Linked DNA regions of Alligator mississippiensis. The protein of the gene in region 2 interacts with the protein of the main gene of each other region in a pairwise test. Links are inferred from orthologs where the notes say so. Each region holds a gene or a part of one and is shown on either strand. Other genes may lie near its edges.

Region 1 (10,332 bases), on a different chromosome or scaffold from region 2:
CCTGGAGAAACTTTCTTTCTTTTCTTTTGTATTTTGCATTCAAAACATTGATTTAAAAATGAATTATAAATAAACAGAGTAAAACTCAAAAAAGAGTTATCTGAAAAATTGAAATGTTGGGTTTTGTGTGTGTGTGCGCGCGCGCATGTGTGTGTCACACTTCCTTGGAATTTTTTTTCTGGTGGCCTCACCCAAACAAAATTGTGGTGAAGACTACTTAATTTTGATCGGACTGTATATTCTGACAGAAAATGGGTGGTTCTACTGAAGTTTCTCTGACCAGGTGCAGTTTAGATTTTATGAGTACAATATATCAAGCATACCTGAGTCCAGTAGTCTACTAGCTTGTGAATGTGATGGTAAGACCTTGTGGAAGACCAGGCAATATTCTTCCCTAGGATTTTGATTATATTGCAAAAGAGAAGAGAAGCAAAGCCTTCATTTGAGACACTTATTCTAAACTCAACAGGAAAATTCTCTTTGACTTTGGTAGAAGGTTGGACTCCAGAGACAAACCAGCTCTGGCAACGATAGTTTAATTCTATGTAGGGTGGGCAAGAGCACTACCAGGAGCCAGGAAATCATCTCAAATTCCACTTGCGTTTGGCAGTAGATTTTCAAGGTGCTCTTTTTAATGGTGCTGAGGCATGCCACGCGATATTAGCACTGTTAGGCATGCAGATATGCTCCACAAGATAAGCTTAGAGATTTCAAACAGGAATCCATAGTGTTAAAAACATTCTGACCTGCCATGGTCTTTCTGAGTTCTCTGCAACATAAGAATCGCTCTATCATTTTTCTGTAGTCATACTGGTGACTGCAAAGGTAAATGGAGCATCCAGGTATGCTCTTCTGGAGCTACTAGGGACTGAGCCACCAAGTATTAAAGTATTTGTAAAGGTTTATTAGAGAGTGCACTTGTCAAAGGCTCAGCTGGCATCAGTAGGTCAGCAATAGCAATCCTTCCATTACTACTGTTTTCCTTGACTTGGACCAATAGGATCTCACCTCTCCCAAAGTCCAAAAAAATCTAGAGTTCTGCTGAGCCTTATGTGAGGCCTGAAAAGTCCTTTATGGCCCCTTGCTGACCCCTGGGGTGCTCCTACCTTTGCCTGGATACCTTCATACTCATAGCTCCTCTCTGGGAATTTGTGTCTTCGTGCTGTGCTAGCCTAGGCCATTTTCAAGGCTCTTTTCCAAGACTACTTATGCCTGGCTGCTGCCCCCTTCTGTCTGGGTGGCAGTCTTCTAGCCAAGTTGGCACAGCTAGCCTCTTAGAGCTGGAGAAGCAACCCATCCCTCCATTTCCTCGTTCTAAATTGTTACAGTGTGGGTTATAGAAATCCCATCACTGCACCTGAAATAGATGCATCTTTGAGTTTTAATTTTGGCCCTTTGGTACAGCAAAATAAAAGAATTCCTGTATGAAGTTTTGTACTATTGGGCATTAACAGTGATTTTTCACTACTGGATAAGCAATATCTTTCAACAGAAGCAGGACTGCATTTTATCAGGGATATTAAATTTATATTACTTATTAGTAATGTAATAGATTTATATTGCTTATTAGTAATGTAATAGAAAAATCACTGTTATACTAGTAATACTAGTAATGTAAATCAGGCATTAACTATCCCTGATAAAATGCAGTCAGAAGACCAGAAGCTACAAAATATATTCACATATGATATGATCTTGAATTGTATTTACTTCTATAATATATAGTCATTAGGATGTGACAAGCTCCTTGGGTAAGAAAAATTGCAAATAATAAGACAGTTCGATCAAACCATATTTTCTTGCACACTGATCCTTCCAATAGCAACACTTTATTCACTAAACTTAAGGCTGCTTGAGTTTTCAGAAGAAATAATTAATGGGTGGGTCCCATAGAAATTTGTACATGACTCCCCTCACTCCCATTCAAAACAGCAGTCTGAAACGTTCATTACCTAGAGAAAGTGTATTTAACCACAGATATGGAAAATGTGTGCTATAGCTTGTCAGTGCATCCTGTTGGACAGAATTATACCCTTAGCTATGTTAACTGTGAGGCTAAAGTACATATTAGTCCAGGTAACTTAATAAGGATTGCCTTCAAATTATTGAGATGCATATTCAGCCACACACCTACACCCCCCTTAACTGCTTAGGATTAATTTGCCTCTCATGCATAAAAAATAACTACTTTTAAAATGAAAGGCTTTACTTTACTGAGCAGAAAGGCTTAGCATTCCTTAGGCACGAGAAACATGTGATATTATCAGGGTTGAGGAAGGAGGAGATGAGGTTTATGGCTATATTTAAAGCAGGCATATGGATATCAAGCACTGACAGCAGTAAGTAATCAGAACAGCCGTTTGCATAATACGCAGTTATTTAGTAACTGCAGAGCTATTATTCAAATTGGACCTCCTCAGCCAGACACTGGCAATTTGCATAGAAGCAAAATAAACCTACAATTGTGAGTTAAGTGTAAAGCTTGCTCATACTATGTCAGAATTCAAGTACAAAGCATTTTAAAATTAATACAGATACACCAAACTCTAAAGCCAGAAGATGAGGAATTTGTTAGCTAAGGATACGGCCATTTTGAGGTCCATGTTAGTATGTTGCCTACTAGACGAAAAGAGAGCCATTAATCAGAGTGCAGGACAGTTGTACATGTGAAACCATAAATGTCCAAGGGATTTGGAGTCTTACACTTTAATTGTCACGCTGGTACCTAAATAGTCACTTAGCATCCATGCAGCACCCTTGTGCTCCTATTGTCTGTGACAATTCAGTTTCAGTGTAACTTGATAGTAATTTTAATAGCCCATGACTATTATCATAGAATCATAGAAAATTAGGGTTGGAAGGTCATCTAGTCCAACCTCAGGAGATCATCTAGTTCAGGGGCGGACAATTATTTTGGGCAGAGGGCCGCTTACTGAGTTTCGGCAAGCCACCGAGGGCCACATGACAGGCAGCCCAGGGCAGATTAATATTAATTTTCTAAATTTTTTAGGGGCCCCGTGGGCTGGGTAGAATGGCCTGGTGGGCCGCATCCAGCCCCCGGGCTGCATTTTGCCCACCCCTGATCTAGTTCAACTGCCTATTCAAAGCAGGACCATCCCCAACTAGATCATTCCAGCCAGGGCTTTGTCAAGCTGGGTCTTAAAAGCCTTCAAGGATAGAGATTCTACCATCTCTCTAAGTCATCTGTTCCAGTGCTTCACCCTTCTCTTAGTAAGAAGGTTTTTTCCTAATATCCACCCTGAACCTCCCTTGCTGCAACTTGAGACCATTGCTCCTTGTTCTGTCATCTGTTTTGTTTATACACGAACATAGGGTTTTTTTCCAAACCAGATCACATCCCTCATTCATAAATTCTGATATCTTGCTATCTTGCTTCCATCAGAAGGTAGGGTAGGGTCACACATTAGTGCAGTGCTTCACAACCAGCTTTCCATGTCACCCTGGGGTGCCTCAAGATCCTTTCAAGGTTGCAACAGGGTGCCATGTAATGTTAGTATTGTTAGGAATGCAACTATGATTCACAAAATAAATCCAGACATTTCAAATAGGATCCTTAGTGTTAAAAATATTCTGAGCTTCTGGGATCTTTCTGATTTCTTTGCAACAGAAAAACTTCACAATTATTTCTTCATAGTCAAAAAATGAGTAAAAACTAAGAGCTGGCATTTTCCAAGGAATACTTTGAGTCTAACAAGGGGTACCTTACATCTAGAAAGGTTGAGAACCATTGCCCTAGAGTGAAGTTACACATTTCATTTAGAACATACTAAGGACATTTAAAACAACAGGTGTATCTACATGTTTAATTAATGTGCTATAGGTAATGTGTATTAAATCTAGTACCCATGGGCCCCTATACACATGCAGGGAGGCTGCTCCAATGTGCTTTAATTACAGCGTGTTGGAGCAGACACGATTGAATCTGCAGAAGCGTGATAATTATTGCACTCCAGCAGACTCCAGCATCACATCTATCAGTGTCCCCACATTGAAAAATGGTGGCAGAGGCGCTTTAACTAAAGCTTGTTTGACAAGCTGTAGTTAAAGCACCATTGCTGGTATTTTTAAGTGTGGGGATGCTGATACACGTGACACTCCACGTGCTTTAATTAGTGCAGTTCTTAGAGCCATGCTAATTAAAGCACCCACCCCAGGCCTCTTGGATCATGTCTATAAATGCCCTTCATTGTAAGGTACTACAAAAATGAGCATGAGCTAAAGGTAATAGTTTTTTGTGATGCTTTAATAAGCATTAAAATAGGCTAATGCACATTAAAGTGCATGTGTAGACACATACAAGCACCCATACATTAAAGTTAGTTAAGTTGTGCTAAGTTTCCTCTGAGCATCTCAGAATTAAGTCAATTCACATGATGGTTAATTCTGGGCTGTGTTATCTAGCTCATGTTAGAGTAACTTTAGTCTGCTCCACAGAGCTTAAAGGAGATATATGCAATCCTCCAGCATCCCAGGATAAACTGTTCCTCCCTCCCCCTTCAGCAGGGATATAGTCTTGGTGTCCTGGCTCCTAGCCACCTCCTTGCTGGCAAACCTCTAGTGGCAGGTCAGAGCTCTGTAGGCAAGAAACATTATTACTCTTTAACATACAACCACTCACAGCATGTTCGAACGTTAACACCACCTAACTTTCCACAGATTTAGTATGGTCTAAGTATAACATGTTACTACACCCTTAGAAACTAACTGGTTTAGAGACGCATGGTTTTAAACAGACAACAACCTACCTTATTGTTGAACTATCCCTGGCATCTGAGAAAGTAAGTTGTTGGTCAGATACTAGGAATGGTCTAATGAAAAAACTGGATTGCCATTCCTCCAGTGGTTTATATGGGAAGTAGAGAATCCTTCCAGACTGCTAATGCAATAATCTTACATGCTGAAGGCTGAGGCTTGTTTGCCAATATGCCAATAATCAAAACATACAAGTTACCTGCAATGCACTGTTCTTGTACTCAGACAGAAAACATGTTGCCTTGATGCTTGTTCAGGCGCACACAAGTTCTTTTGTCCACAAATTCTCCTTAGTAGGAGGAGTGCTAACCTAAGACAGCTTCATCCTTCCGGTTGGATTTCAGACACTTCAGCAGAGCGAAGTCTAGCATATGTCTTCTGGCTTCAATTTAAAAAGAAAACACAGTTTGTAATAAGATTCACCCAGCTTCTGCAGAGCGCTTGCTCTGTTGTCCAGATGCATAAAGATTCATTTACAAGCTGAAGTCATATGATACAATGAACAGATAAGATCTGTGACCTGCAATGTCCAAGTAGCTCTGAACCCAAGAGAAACAATGCTGGATGTAGCTATAGTTTAAAATGTAACATGTTCTTTATATTTACTGATTTCAGGCCCAACCATTCTGCATGACTGCGAACTCCCAGAGGGCAGAAATGAAGCTGCACGACTATGAGAGAGATTCGCTCTAAATGGCATGAGACAGACTCATTACCTTTATTCTGCAATAGAAATGACCATATTTTCTTGCGCACACATGTGCCACAGTATAATACCCACAGTGCTTTTGAAAGATTTTTCCAGCGTTCTGGCTGCACAGAGCAGGGACAGAGCCCAATCTCCCACTAACTAACCTGCCTAACTAAAGTGGAAACCCTAGCTGTTTCCATGGGTGGAAGGATGATTTTGAAGAAAGCAGAAGACTCTCCAGGGGGGTGAGAAATAGGAGAAGAGAGGATGGGTGCAAGGAGTTCGAAACAAAATTGCCCTAAGAAAAGTTAACTTGATTAATGGTAACACCCAGTCCATTAAAAAGGAGAGCTGATGGCCCAGCCAGGCTCCCCCAACTGTGGGGGAGGTTCCCAACCCCCTGGACCCACGTGACAGCAGGAAAGTCATCCCCCAGCCTCATGCAGCAGCCAACCGAGCCCGGGCAATGTCCACAGCTGCGCGCCGGGCAGGAAGGGGTTACTGCGCAGGGAGGGGGCGGGGCTAAGAGCGCCGCGCTCAGGACCCGGGACAGCAGCGCGAGCCCCACCCCCCGCCCGGAAGAGCTCGGGGCGGTGCCCGCGTTGCCTTGGCGACGCCGCTCGCTGTTCTAACCGCCTCCCTCCCCACCTTGCGGGGGTGGTCTCCATGGCGACGGTGACGCGGCTGCGGCGCCATGTCGGACCTGGGCTCGGAAGAGTTTGAGGAGGAGGCGGAGACCGACCTCGGGGTGCGCGCGGGCCGCCGTAGCGCCCCCCACCCCTCGCCCCAATGGCCCCCGCCGGGTCCTAGCGCCCCCACGCGCGAGAGACCTGCCCCCCACCCCGCCGCTGGGTGCCGGGTCTGGGGGGCGTGGGCACATGGACGAGGGGTGGATGTGTAAATGGATGGATGGACAAGACAGCTGGATGGATGCCTTGATGGATGTATGGTTAGATAGATGGATGGATGAGTGGATGGAAAGATGCATGGATGGACCGATGGGTGGTCAGGTAAATAGATGAGTGAATGGATGGATGAATGCATTGATGGATGGGTGGATGGATGGATGGACAGACAGGTGGAGGGATGGGTAGGTGCATGGATGGATGGATGTGCGGACAAGCAGATAGATGGGCGGATATGCGGATGGACAGATAGATGCACGGATGGATGGACGGACGGATGTGCATTTGACCGGATGGGTGGTTGGATAGACAGATCGGTGGATGAATGGATGGGTGGACACAGGGGGAGGGGCAGTGCTGAAAAGAAGGTGGCTTCCAGATGCCAAGCAGGAGCCGGTGTACATCCCTGCTTGAGGGTGGGAGTTTTTGGGGAAAGGACATGGTCTAGGGGTTCTCAACCTTTATAGAACCCCACCCCCGAGCACTGCCAGCTCATAGCTTTCACTCATGTTTTTTGACTGCAGAACAAGAGTAGAGCAGTTCTTCCATTGCAAAAAACTCAGGAAGACCCCAACAGGGCAGAGTGCTTTTAACACCATGGATTCCTACTGGAAATCTCTGGGTTTATCTCAGGAATCAGGTGTGCACACCTGACAGTGCTAACATTGCATGGCACCCCTGCTATTATACCCTTAAAAGGATCTCAAAGCACCCCAGGCTGCCTTAGCATCATGGTTGAGAATGACCAACCTAAGCAAGGGACTCAGAAAAGGAGCAGGTCACAACCAAGAAGTGGCTGCCTTTTCTTACACATGCTGAATTCAGCTTCCAGTCTCCCTCTCAGCAGATGAATGGCATTACTTGAGACTAAAAAAAAAAAATTTTCCTATCAATGCAACTGATAGAACAAAAAATAATCATAAAACCCACCTTGCATCTTGTTCTTTTTAATTAGGAGTATGATGGTGAGCGCAATGCAGCAGGTGAACGGCATGGACATGGACGAGCTCGGTTACCCAATGGTGATACATATGAAGGAGAATATGCATATGGTCTAAGAAACGGATTGGTAAGATTTAGCGCAGTCCTCTCTAACGAGTCATTTATATGTTTCAAACAGTTTTATTAAACGAGGCTGAAATGATAGTGAAAATTGACAAGCCCTATATCTACACCAAATATGTTTCAGGGAACCTACAGATTTAAAAATGGTGCTCGCTACATTGGAGAATACCTTCAAAACAGAAAGCATGGCCATGGCATTTTTATGTATCCAGATGGATCAAAGTATGAAGGTAAAGTGCTGACCATGATTCTGAGGATTTAAACACCTGAGAAGGCAAGGTTATACACTTAAGTGTTAGGAGAAAATAAGTCTAGTGCCACATTTCTAACTATATTTCTAACACCAACATTTCTGTGTTTCTTTCCTGTTATTCCTGCCTTTTTGCAAATTTGGGAGGGAAGTGGCTTGAAGTATTTGGCAGGGATTTATTGTCTCACTAACTCAATCAACAGAATTTAATATTCCAAATTATACACACCATTGAGCAAAGTTTTTACATCCTCCATTGGAATAATAGAAGAGAGTATAGTTACATTACAAGAGCAAACAATATCAAGAATATGTGTTCACATGTAGTGATTAAGCTCCTAGAATTGTAGATTTCAGTCCAGAGTATTTTTCCTCTTTCAGAGAATTATGTTATCATAATGATAAAGTGTAGGATGTATAGCTCCAGTACACCCAAAACAGCAAAGAGTAGAAACTGAACCTAAGAACAGGTGCTGTGATCACTACCCAGCCTTGGCACAATTTAAAGCATCTGTAAAAAGTATTTATGATTTCTGGCATATGTTTACCAACAGAGAACTGGGCATGGCTGAGCAGGCTCTGCCACATACCCACTTTCTTCCCTGGACAGCCCCTGTCTCCTGACCTCTCTTTTTGCTATACCAAATGGTAGCAAGGAAGTGCTAAGAGATGTGCAGAAGATTAAATTAATTCATGCAGCAGAGTCTTTGGGCAAATGTATACACAAAGAAAGCCTATGCAAGATTATTAGTGCTTAATTACAATACACAAACAGTATTCAGTCACTGCCAAACCTGGAGACACCTTCCTGTTTGACCTGAAAATTCTCTAAATTTCTGTGGTTTTCCTTCATTTGAACCAGGACTTCCCTGATCCAGCTCATACCAAGGCCTCATTAGCATGGAGAAACGAGGCAGAGAGACATGCCAGTCATGTGAAGACCTGCAGTATATTAGATGGTGTGCAATACCAGCTGTCTAGCCCTTGGCCAAGGAGCATTTCTTCTCATTCTTGAACATTTATGAGTTATCTTTGTGGAACAATCTCTATTTGGGCAATACATTTTCTGTCTTGTTCCACTTCGTGACAGGGGGAAACCTGACTGTCTAGTAGTTTATGGTCACATTATGAAAGTTGTGTACAGAAATCACACCTTACAAGTCTTTCATTAGACTTAATGAGTCAATAGTCCTCTTTCACCAGGCTGTACTGTCTATTTCTTGGTTCATTTAGACAGTCTTTCACTCCAGGCTGTCAGGCCCAATAGTGACAATTCAAGAGTATGCTACTTCATCACGTGGGGGTTGTGTTTACTGAGTGACTCACTATGATCTCTCACCCTCTGCATACCGGTAGTGTCTTAGCACCTCTTACTCTGGGCAAGGTTAAGGTATGGGAATCCAGGCCCATCAGGCTCTTCTGGTTTAAGGTCCTGACCCTGTCTGGCTATGAAGATCTCCTACAAATCCACACTCCACTGGATCCGTGAACCATGGAATTTATTATCAACCATCTTCCTTAGCTTGTTTCGTTTTCCAGTTTCCTCAAACCTCTTCAGTGCACCCAGCTCTAACTCTTCTCTTTTGCTGTTCCTTTTTTCTGGTCACTGGCTCTGTACTGCTCTTCTCTGTAGTCTTCATTAATCCTCTGCTCTGGTACCCCAGTTTTCTCCATGAGCTGTCCAGCACCATACTTTTGACTAGAGCAGGGGTTTTCAACCTTTTTTGGTTGGTGTACCCCTGGCAGCCGCTCGAGAAGCGGGGAGTCCCTTAGCAGCCAGTCAACAAGCGAAACCAGAAGTGTCAGTAGCTTTTCCGTACTGCTGCCATGGAACCGCTGGGGCCTTCCAAAGTAACCTAGGGGTACACGTACCCTCGGTTGACAACCCCTGGACGAGCTTTAGCCGCCAGACTGCAGCTCACTTCTTTTCCTGATTCAGCCCTTATATAGTCTCAGGTGGTGGAACCCATATTGGGAAGTCTCCAGTCTTAAAGGGCCTGCAGAGGTGCCCCCCTGTGCATCTATGTAAATGGAATTAGGGAATGCTATTACAGCACAGAAAAGTGGTTTGAGGCTGATTTATTTTCTGCGTCTTCTTTTGACAGCAAGGAGATTAGTTGAGTCAAACTCTTATCTTCTTCATTAACTGTTTTAAAGATTTTTTTTCTAGGAAGTCATTTAACTCCAGGATTAACACTTTTCTGTAAAAAGGCTTTGCTTTCTTTTCAGTAAAGATTTTAACACAGGCCTAGTACAGAATAACATCAACTTTAAACAAAGGATTAAAAACTAGAGACTGAATTTTGAAGTGTCAGGGCCAAACTTAGGCACTTAATAGAACAGATGGAGATCTAGATGTGAATGGCTCAGGTCCATTACTCAATATCTTTTCTATGAAAATCAAAATATACAGTTACTCATAATTGCCTAAAGTTTAAGCAGACAAGTTTGTAAATGTGGACACTTAAACCAGGTTAAAAGCATATTGCAGCTAAGATGTAGGATCTTTTTGGGAGTCTTGAAAATATTTTCACACTGTTCTTTTATTTGATGATCTAGAACCTCCCAGATTGCAGTGGTGATTTGAATAGAAAAATTATCATAGAGTTGTTTTGTGTTATGATTTCCAAAGAAGGCCTGAAAAAGGT
Region 2 (10,453 bases):
TTCATTTATCCTTACTACCATAGAGTAATTTTGAAGTAAACCCTTAAAACAAAAGTGCTTAACATTTTTCTTTTTTAATATTAAATACTGTAGATTATTAACTGGAACCACTGTATAACAGGGGGATTATTAGAGAAAGTCCTACCCCAGCCTTTTCTATACAAGGTCTTATGCCATGCTCATAATATATGTATCCAAGCAAACCTACACCTCTGCTTTGTCCAAAGATGTTCAATGTTAAAAATTAATCTTTTGTGTTAATATTTTATTTTGTTTTAATTTTAAAGCCCTCCTGTACTTGGGAAACTTTGTAATAAAAAGTATATTAAAAATGCTCTGCTGTGTATTTGAGATCATTGCAAAAGCTGTTTGTTCTTGTTTATTTCTCCAAATTATAGACTGTCTGTAGCTGCAGATCTCAAATAGGATCAGAAATATCAATCACCCTAAATGAAAAAACCCCTAAACAAGTAAGTTAAAAAGACAAACAAATGGGATACATATCTTACAAGTATAGTGTCTGAATACTGTAATTACCAGTAACTGCTGCTTGTGATCACTGATGAACAACTGACAGATCCTTTGGCGCTGTTATCTGCCATAGAATTTGAGGACTAGAATAAAGAAAATAATAGACAAAATATTTTTTTTTTACAAGAAGGGCAATTTATAGCCACTATTTGGTATTACTGCACAGACCCCTACTAGTTCCTCCATGAGTCTGTGCCCCTTCTTTTCATCCACTTGAAGACTCTGCTGTAAAACGTAAGGCCATCATCCTCACTCATGTCCTATGCTGTCTCCAGAAAGATGTTTTGAGGAAGTGGTGTGAGTAAATCCTTCCCTTACTTCTTTATTGAATGTTTTTAATTACAGGAAATCTTTTGTCTGGTGTAAATATTTAAAATTTGGTTGACTGCATCAGTATTCCTTGTACCTTTCATGCTTAAGTGAGAGAATGAAAGTTAGAGCTACTTTTGTTGTTGTTGCTCCAATTTATGTATAATGCAGTGTGTTCCTGTATTCAGTTACATGCAGAACTACTTTACACTCCTGTTACAGATTCTGTGGGAATTATGTGCCATGTTTCAGCCTGAAATTTATTTTGTGATGTGCCTAAAACTATCCTGCAAGTGCATACTATCACCCGACTGAGGATAATTCATCAGCAGATATCTCAATATTTATATTTTAATTAGGGATGGGGCCTTTTTCTGTAGCACTAATGCTTCTTCTATAATTTCTACATTGACTCTCTGCTGTGCTTCTCCTTTGCATTTAACTTCCATGTGAACCATATCACTTCACTCCATTTTGCAGTTTACTCATCCTTGTAATGGCAAATGGAGCAAGGTAATTTATACACAAAGCTACTGTAAATCCAGTCTTTAAGAAGTTAGAAATCATCCAACCTATCTATTTAAAGCAAACAGTATACAACTCTGGCCACTAGAGTGAGATAGTATGGTGGTTTTTAATAGTTTCATAGTTGGTAGGGTCGGAAGGGACCTGAGTAGATCATCAAGTCCAACCCCCTGCCGTGGCAGGAAAGAGTACTGGGGTCAAACGACCCTGGCGAGGTGTTCATCCAGTCTCCTCTTAAAGACCCCCAGGGTAGGAGCCAGCACCACTTCTCTTGGAAGTTGGTTCCAGATCCTATCCGCCCTGACATCAGGAGGCACTACTTCACTGTCAGGGCGGCTAGGATCAGTTTTCAACCCGTGGCCCAAGGACCCCTGGGGTCCGCAGATGATGTATAAGGGGTCTGCGAAAAATGATCAAAAGAATGTGAATACCCACGCTTACAATTTAAAGGGGTCCGCACCTCCATTCGAAATTTCCAAAGAAGTCTGCAAATGAAAAACAGTTGAAAACCGCTGAGATAGCAAAATAGTGCACTCTTTCTCGGCTAAACAAAATAGGTGAGCAGCTGACATTTTGTCTTCTAGTCTCTACACTTCCTACAGCACTACAGCATAGAATTTAGGGCGTATCATCCTTCATTCCCCATCTCCCCAAAGTCCACCAGTGCCCCTACACTTCTTGAAGTCCTGTGTTTCTAACAAACTAACCCAGTTCCAGCACAAATTGCTTTATTTCTTTTCTGTATAGATTCTTATGCTGCCCTCATCATCACTAAGGATATCTGAGTGCTTTTGCACAGTGCATTAAGCGACTTGACGAACTTCTGTCATGTATGATTAATTTCCTCTCCTTCTCTTCTCAAGGGAGAAATTGTGCATGCGGTATAATGTTTTGGTAGGTTTTAATTTATTTAATAAATATCTGCATGTTACTATGTGTTTATATTACTGAAGGCAATGTCATATAAACCCTCTTGGAACTTGGAGTGGGTCTTGCTGTGGTTTGTGGTGGTTCTTAGGTCTTCCGGGAGTTTGTTGCAGTCTGGGATTTCCAGTAAGACAGCTGTAATGTGCTTTGGCTAAACTTTACCCTTATAGGAGAAAAGCTCTATTCTCCTCAAATGTGAACCTCATGTTTTATCCTTTTGCTGTTTAGTTCTCATGGGATCTGTGTTGTCTCCAACGCTAGCAGCATTTATCCTTTTAATGACAAATAGAGTAGAGGTAGCTATCTGTGTTAGTCTGAAGTCAGGCAGAAGGCAGGGTAGATTTGCACTTCATAGACTAACTAAGAAATGTATAGCATGAGCTTTCATAAGCACTGGGCTTACACCCAGTGCTGTAGATGCTGCAGGAAGCAGTGACTGGAATGCAAAGGGTAGGGAAGGAGTAGGCACTGCTGAGAAAGGCAGAATCATTGAACCCCTATTCTAAGCATACCTAGGGTATTTTTTTTTAATCTCCCTGAATTTAACATCTGTTGTAGAGTCAGCAGCTCTAGTGTATGCAAGACAGACAGCACTTTGGCCTAGATGATGTAATCTATTCCAATCATTAATCATTGTCAGGTATGAGCCAGAACACAGAAGTAGGTATCATCAGCTGCCTGCTCCTGGGGTTCTTCTTATGTTATAACCACTGTGTCATGGGGATGTTAGTAGGGGAGTATTTTAGAATAGACATTCTGGCACTTGACAGATGCATCAGGACCTAACACTGTTGTGCAGTTGCCCTGTTCACATTTTTCATGCAGGTTTTAATTCTCAGACTCTTCCTCACCCACTCCTATTCCATCAGAGATGTCTTAACTACACAAATGGGTTAAAATGTTGACACCATCTCTCTTATGTATTCTGTCCTCAAGTGTCTTCAGATCTCTGCCTTCACCCTCACTCTGCATCAGCCCTGTTCATTCCAGCAGTTTGGCCAAGACCGTACAGGGAAAATAAGAGACAGAAAGGAGGGGCCTCAACAGATCTGGTAAACTTGTTCACATGCTATACCTGTCCCAGTGAGGAGCCAGCGCTCTGTTATTTTCAGTGGAACAAAGGGTCTTCAAGAGTAAAAAAAGTTTATGTGACCCTGGCTGTGTACAAAATTAAACAGTTGAACAGGCTTTAGGGTTTTGAATTAGAGACTTTGGCCTATTATTTTCATCGTAAACAAGCTCAAAAGTTCATGCCAGAATTTGGAAATTGATTGATTAACATATACAGAAGAAAACATCTAAAACAAGATATTAAAGACAGGAAGAGGGGACTAGAAGGGGTCTCCCAGGCTATCAACTCCAGTCCCCAGAATTGGGTACTTACTGGTATGACAAATAAATGTGTTTAATTCCCTTGAGCCTTTGACCCAAAAGGTGTTTTAAAACCTGCTTTACTGTTGCATCACTAAAACAACTGTGGCTTATATGTACAGAATCCTCAGTTCTTTTTACTTTCAAGCACACTTTCATAAATGTTTGAAAATATAAGCAAAACAAAATCAACACAACACTTATAATGTGAAGGCTAAGAAACTACTGAATCGAACTGTTGCAAAAGCCCTTCAGAAAGAGAATGATGCAGGTTTTGGTAAACATCCAGGCTAGGGACAGAAGTTACACATAAACCAGTTTAAGTGATCAGAAACTGGTTTAAACCTGTAACAGAACAGAAGTTCAGTGCACATAAACCAGTTGCAAAATGGCTGAAATTGGTTTAAGATAAACCTGGTTGAATGTAGTATCAGACATAACTGATTTAGGTCAAACCAGTTTATGAAACTTCTGTCCCATACCCCTTTCCTGGTTCAAGTTAAGTCAGAGTCCCTCAGTATCCCTCCATGCTTTGCAGTCCTGGGCTGGGCTAAGCTGGGCTGGCTGTTCCAGAGAGCAGGGCTGGCCCCGCCCCTTTGCTCCCTAGCCAGAGCAGTGATGGCTGGCTCACTGGCTGCTTCACTGGCCACCCCAGGCAAAACCCAGCTGGGGCCTAGGGCCAGGGAGCGGGGTTAAACTCCCCTTCCCCTGAGTACAGAGCTGCCCTGCCCTGCTAAATTCACTGCTGGCTGTGACTATGGACTAAATCCCAGAGGTACCTGGAAACAGGAAGAGGAAGTGATGAGCACCCCTGCAGTGTCCTGCTGCTGTGATTGTGGGCTGCAAATCCCAGAGACCTTGGGGGCCACAGGAAGAAGTGAACACACGGACGAGCTGTGTTGAATGCTCACTTCAGAGAAACAACAATTCTTGTTCAACCTTTTATGAATTCAATGCCACTACCTTTGTCCCCACCCCCCCCCTCCTCAGCCTGGCTGACGCCCCCACCCTGATGACCCTCCAGCTAGCTCCAGGCTACGGCTTGGCCACATCTCCTTCTCTTGAGCAGGGAGGGGGGGAAAGCCTTGGAGGGCCTTTTGTCTTCCCTTCCCTTTGGCAGTGCCTGGCAGGAGCACTCTAGTACTCCCCGGTTTCTGGCATGAGCCACTGCAGACACGTGACTGCAAAAGTGAATGTCTGTTCATTTGCGTATTGGTTCACTCTCTACAGCTTAGACTAACCTGCAAAGACTGAATCAATTCAGCCTTGAGCTTTTTGACTTCTGAACTTAGCCCCAAAGCTTGATGTAATTTAAATACCAGCACGAATGAACATGGATCTTAAGTTACTTAACCCTCAGGATATCTCAGTGGTCTGATTTTTAGGTCAGATTTTAGGTTAGTCAATCTTGTCTATTCTAACCTATGGCACTGTTAGGCAGAGGGCATGGCAAAATAACACCTTAGGCTGCTTGCAGACATGAAAAAAAAAACTTTACTGGAAGAAGCAGTGCGTTACTTTGACCTGGCTCTGCAGCATCTGTATGGATTGGACGCATCAGCAGGGCTTTTTGGCACTTTTATCTAATAGCTGATTCACTCAACTATTAGATAAAAGCGCCAAAAAAGCCCCACTAAAGCGCTTGATCTATACAGACGCTGCAGAGCTGGGTCGAAGTAACATGTTGTCTCTTCTGGGCATGTGCTGGGCTCAGCACAGGAGGGCACCAAATTTAAAGTCAAGCATGGTTTTTGTTTTGTTTGTGTCTGCAAGCAGCCTTAGAGACTACCTGGTTCAGAGCCATAAGCTTTTCTGGGGAACAGCCGACTTTGTCAGATGCTACTGAACTGTCGTACTAAGAAGGTTATGGTTTCATTTCTTTCCTACAGACACTCTGATGGAAATAAATGCCTTTTTATATAGTGGAGCTGTAGCTTTGAGGAATCACCCTTTGCTCTTTAACAAACCACAACAAATCTAACTTTATGGAAACATGGGTTGAAGTTCATTATTGAGGGCTGAAGGTTACTATTTTCATGACAAAAGCACTTAGGCACCCCAAAGAGATTGGTATCCCACTGTAGGAACACTTTTCAAACATCAGAGACAAGCCCTGCCAGTAATTTGGACAGGCACCTTTCCTACTCTGGAAGGTATCCCTCCCAGTCTGTGTTTTCTCTCACACAGAGACGCTTCCCCATGGAAGTTATGCTAGTGGCCAGCCTTTGGAAATCACCAGAGGAAGCTACTTAGACCAGCTAAATTGGACATATGCTTTGAAAGTTGTTAAATGCTTTGAGGCTTTTTGGAAAATAAAGATATGCTATGACTGTGAAGTAACAGAATAGTATCTACTCACTGAATTTGTTTTAGACCTATATAAGTAAAACTACCTGTTTACCTCTATTTCTAAGGACAAGGAAAATGCATGTATTTATCTTAAGCAATCAATTTTCTAATTTAAATACAAATCAAATATAAATTTATACACATAGATACCCATACACAGGGTGAACGCCAAGGTTTTACTTAAAAAAAAAAAGGCTTGTACTGCTCCAGTAATGATTGCAATTAGATTTGATTGCCAACTCTGTGATGAACCTCATGGAGCCTTTAAACCCTGACAGTGTTGTTCCCTGGATGTGATTCTCACATCTCTTCCCTGCAGAAATGGGCTTGTCTGTTGTGAAAGTTTGCTTGAGTTGCTATGGCTACCCCAGCTGGAGCTCGCGGTACCGTACACAGACTCCAGCTCCTGCTGCTATAATGCTGTAGTTCTCCAGCCCCCCCGGCCGTTCCCTGCAGGACGGACAAACAGATCAGCCCTGAACTGACTCTGAGGTTAGTCTACATGTATTTGCTATTAAAAGAGAGGAGATGGAAATTATTTTAGTCTAGAAACATGGGCCAACGGATACCTGTTAATCTCTTTGCATTGCTTTGGAATGGCTGGCAAATAAGGGGCAGCTAACTTTAGAGATGTTCCCACTAATTAACATCAAGATTTTTCCTATTGCATTAGTCCTTCTCTTGGGGTTGGGGTGGTGCAGGTGCCAAAGAGCACAGTTGACACTCCAGTGGTCATAAATTTGAGGCCATAGCAGAAGTGCTCAGGGCAGGGCCTGTTAGATTCAAACAAAGTCTGCGAATTCTGCTAAATACCTGTCATAGGGATGCAAAAAAAGGAAAGGAGTCTTCCTCCATCCCACTGTCCTCTGATTTAGTCCAACAGACTACATAGGAAAAAAAGATTAAAGTTATTTTGGGGCTAAGGTTGGGGAATGTCTGACTCTGTAAGAAGCTGTTAGCTCAGCCCCACTGTAGCAATTAACATCTAAATTGATGAGCGTTGCAGAGAGATCACTGGCAGCTATGGAACAAAAAAGCAGCAAGACCACCTTCTCCTGCCAGTTACTCATTACATGATGGCAAAAGGAGGTAAAGGAGCAAGAACCAAGCTCCCCAACTTTGTTGCACAGAACAGCCTAAATTTAAACAGCTATGAGGGAAGGGAAGGCAGAAAAAAGCCTGCTTGATTCTGAGAACTCAGTTGTATGCAGCAGCCCAGCAGAGCTGCAGGGCACCTGTTAGTGCTGGCTTCAATTGCTGACTGGCAGCCCAAACCCACAGATACTCTCAGCAGAGCTAGAGCAATCCAGATGAACACGCTGCTATTATCTCTCGGATGCCCAAACTGTATGTGAGGCTAGAAAGTTCAAAGGAGCTCAGTGTCCATGTAGGCATCTAAAAGTGGCCAGAGTTTCAGAACAGCTTGTAGAGTTGGCTGTACGTTGGGTGCTGAGCAGTTCGGAAAATCTGGCCTTCAAGTGTAAACTTCTTAAATTTCTTCTCGCTGATTTAATTGAGAGGTTTTGGGGTTGCAAAGGGATTCTGGCACCGCATGGACACCAGGAACGTGATGCAGAAAAATTGCAAGAGACAGCCCTTTAGAAGGTCAGTGGTGAAGCTACAAAAATAAGTTTCCTGTGGAGTACCTTTAGCTTTTGTCCTGATTTACCCTCCTGAAAGAAAAAGCAAAGAAAATCTAGGCCCCTTGTGGAGCCATGTGAATTAAGACAAAATTATTAGACTAAAGAAAAAAATGTGCTGTAAGAACACAAGGCAAGATTTGGAAGGAGTATACAAACCTGGTCTGGATGGCAGAGCACATGAGATGGTTTTAGTGGGAGCAGCAGCATCTCCTGGTCAGAGTTGTGAACTGCAGCACGCTCATTTGTTGTCAGCTCCCAGCCATTAATGCCAGAGAACAACATTTCAAAACTCGCAGTTTATGTTCTAGATCTATTTGTTTTGCATTTCCTAACTTTTTAAACCTGCAGCCTCAACACTGCGTTACTGTATGTTTGTTATTTTGAATTCTCAATATAAAATTAACACAAAAGCCAACAATAATACAACATTCATCCTTGTAGACTTGGAGATCAAAGCAGGAGACGGCTTTCTCTTCCACAGCGATGTCGAGTCATTTGTATTCTACGGGTGGAATTTTAAAAGAAACATTTAAGAGATACATTTGTAATACGCAGAATGGAGGTGAATTGCTGCTTATGTGAAACTCTTAGCCTTAACATATTTATTTAAAACTGTAACCTAGAATTGTATTAAAATAAGTTATTGTCTTTAATTTCCTTGTGATTTTTGTTTTGTGGGGCGGGGGAAAATGGTAGCTGCAACCCTTGGAGTTAAAGTAGCTGCAACCCGCGGTGCTCTTGGAGTGAAGCGTGAGAGGATTTGACTTTGTTCCGAGTACATACAGTCATGTTCCTGCCCCCAGATGAGTGGATGCTTTGCCTCACTGAGCATTGTGGATCGTGTAGAAAAAGTCTAATCTGAGTGTGTCTGAAGGAACAGCGTGTTTATCTGGCCAATCCTCCCATGCCTTGGTTCCGCTTTTGCAACAAGAAGCCAATAATACTTCCTTATCTCACAGGATGTCACACTAGTATTTGTCGGTTGTTCAGACAGTATAAGTATCTACACACACACAGTCAAATAGGTGGGATTCAGCCTCCTCTGCTGCTCTTCCAGTGAAGTCAGGTGAGGAGTAGGCAAGGCAGAGGGACTCTTCCCACCCCTTGTTTTTACTGCCTAAAATTTGTCACAAATCAGCAGACACTCCTCCAACTCATACTCCATCCTCCTCACCCCCACGCTGCACTTCAGCACAAAGCACCGGCCAAGACTGCACACTTTGCAGATGCAGGGCCTGATGCTGATGACCCCCTTACTCTGACTTCAGTAGGTTTCTATGATGGTGGGCATGTGATCGTTCCTTTTACATACAGTATTCCACGGAGAAAGGGGTATTCTTGCAGAACTATATTCGTTTGGTGATACCTTTAAGCATACATATCACAACAGTAAAACTAACAGGATCTTTTGGGATAAGATGCAAACACAACCCAGCCTAGCTTTTCTTGTACAGTTACCATGATGTCACAAAAACCCAATGATGTCTGTGCATAACAAGATAGACCCCAGTTGCTTGTGTAGTAAATTAAGTTAACTAGACATTGTGAAGGCTTCAAGTGGACTGGGTAGTAAAATATGGGAATCCTGCTTTCTGAAGTGTCCAAGAAAATAACACCCTTGTATGTTTAAGTGTGCTGCTCATTCACAAAGACAAAGTAGAGGCACTGAGGTAGGGGCTACTAATTATTATTATTATTATTATTTATTTGTATTGCAGTAGCACTGAGATGCCTGGACCAGGTTGGTGGGCCATTGTACTTAACATTGTACAAGTACATAGAAAATGATAGTTCCTGACTCTCAGAGCCCACAGACTGGAAATAAGCTGTTAACACATGGGTGAAACAAAACCACAGAAAACAAAAAAATACCAGGCAGGATGAATGAGTAATAACAGGATCCATTAGGACAGACTTGCCATTTGCCCAGTCCATTGTTGGATGACATCAATTGTCCACAGCAATTTGAAGTTGACATACCAGGTGCTAGGTCACTGTCAAGTAGCAATTCTCCATTGGTAGCACGGTGGAGATGTTTCTTAACAAGTGATTTGAAGTACAAGAGTACAGGAACAGTACATTTTGAAGGGGACATTTTTCCATCTAGTGGGGCAGTACAAGAGGAAAATGCAAAGGCTGACCTTGAGCCAACAGATGTTCTAGGCTCCCGTCTTTGCCGGAGTAAAGGGAACATTCAAAATCAAATTCATGTAATAGGATGGACAAGCAGGGAGCAGCTAAATTATGAATGGCTTCAATGGGGGAAACATGAAGATGCTGATCTGATGGGACAGAACGAGAGGGAATTGTCTATGCAATATGCAAATCTGCTTCTATCTTCCTTTTCCTTGCTCCAAAGCATAGGCACTGACTGGTATTTTTGCTGGGGGGGGCCTAAGATGATGGACAGATGGAAAATTTTATGCGTTTGAGGTAACAGCCCTCTTCCTGAGGGGGGCCATGTACTCATGGGCACCTCTGCTCCAAAGGGCTTTTTGTAATCTTGCTTTGTTTGTTCGGATCCAACCTTTCTGTCTTCCTTTCCTACTCTTTTACTAGCTATGTTGTTACAGATTATTGTCACTTATATTGAACTTCACCCATTTTTCCAACAATTGAGCTCATAATCAGGGTGGGTCTGCTAGACTCCAGTTATTACAGCATGGCCATTTCATTAATACAGCATGGCATATTTGCATTACCTTAAAACTACGGCAGCAACTCAACTGGCCTCTAAAAGCAAAGAAAGGGAATTAAATGCACATCTCAGCAAATAGCAAGGCCTGAATGTTTTGTGA

What was found.
Region 1: the proteins of MORN3 (region 2) and RSPH1 interact in binary tests that used the Homo sapiens proteins (3 or more experiments, as listed by UniProt). The two-hybrid records come from large-scale screens. The link is inferred for Alligator mississippiensis from reciprocal best matches to the Homo sapiens genes MORN3 and RSPH1.

Annotation. Positions count from the first base shown.
Region 1 is NC_081824.1:299,503,348-299,513,679, reverse strand, and holds the start of RSPH1 (radial spoke head 1 homolog), read left to right. Parts: upstream 1-6,104; 5' UTR 6,105-6,158; coding exon 6,159-6,212; intron 6,213-7,324; coding exon 7,325-7,438; intron 7,439-7,558; coding exon 7,559-7,664; intron 7,665-10,332.
Region 2 is NC_081833.1:2,654,647-2,665,099, reverse strand, and holds the start of MORN3 (MORN repeat-containing protein 3), read left to right. Parts: upstream 1-6,286; 5' UTR 6,287-6,504; intron 6,505-10,453. UniProt on the Homo sapiens protein: Assembles a suppression complex (suppresome) by tethering SIRT1 and MDM2 to regulate composite modifications of p53/TP53.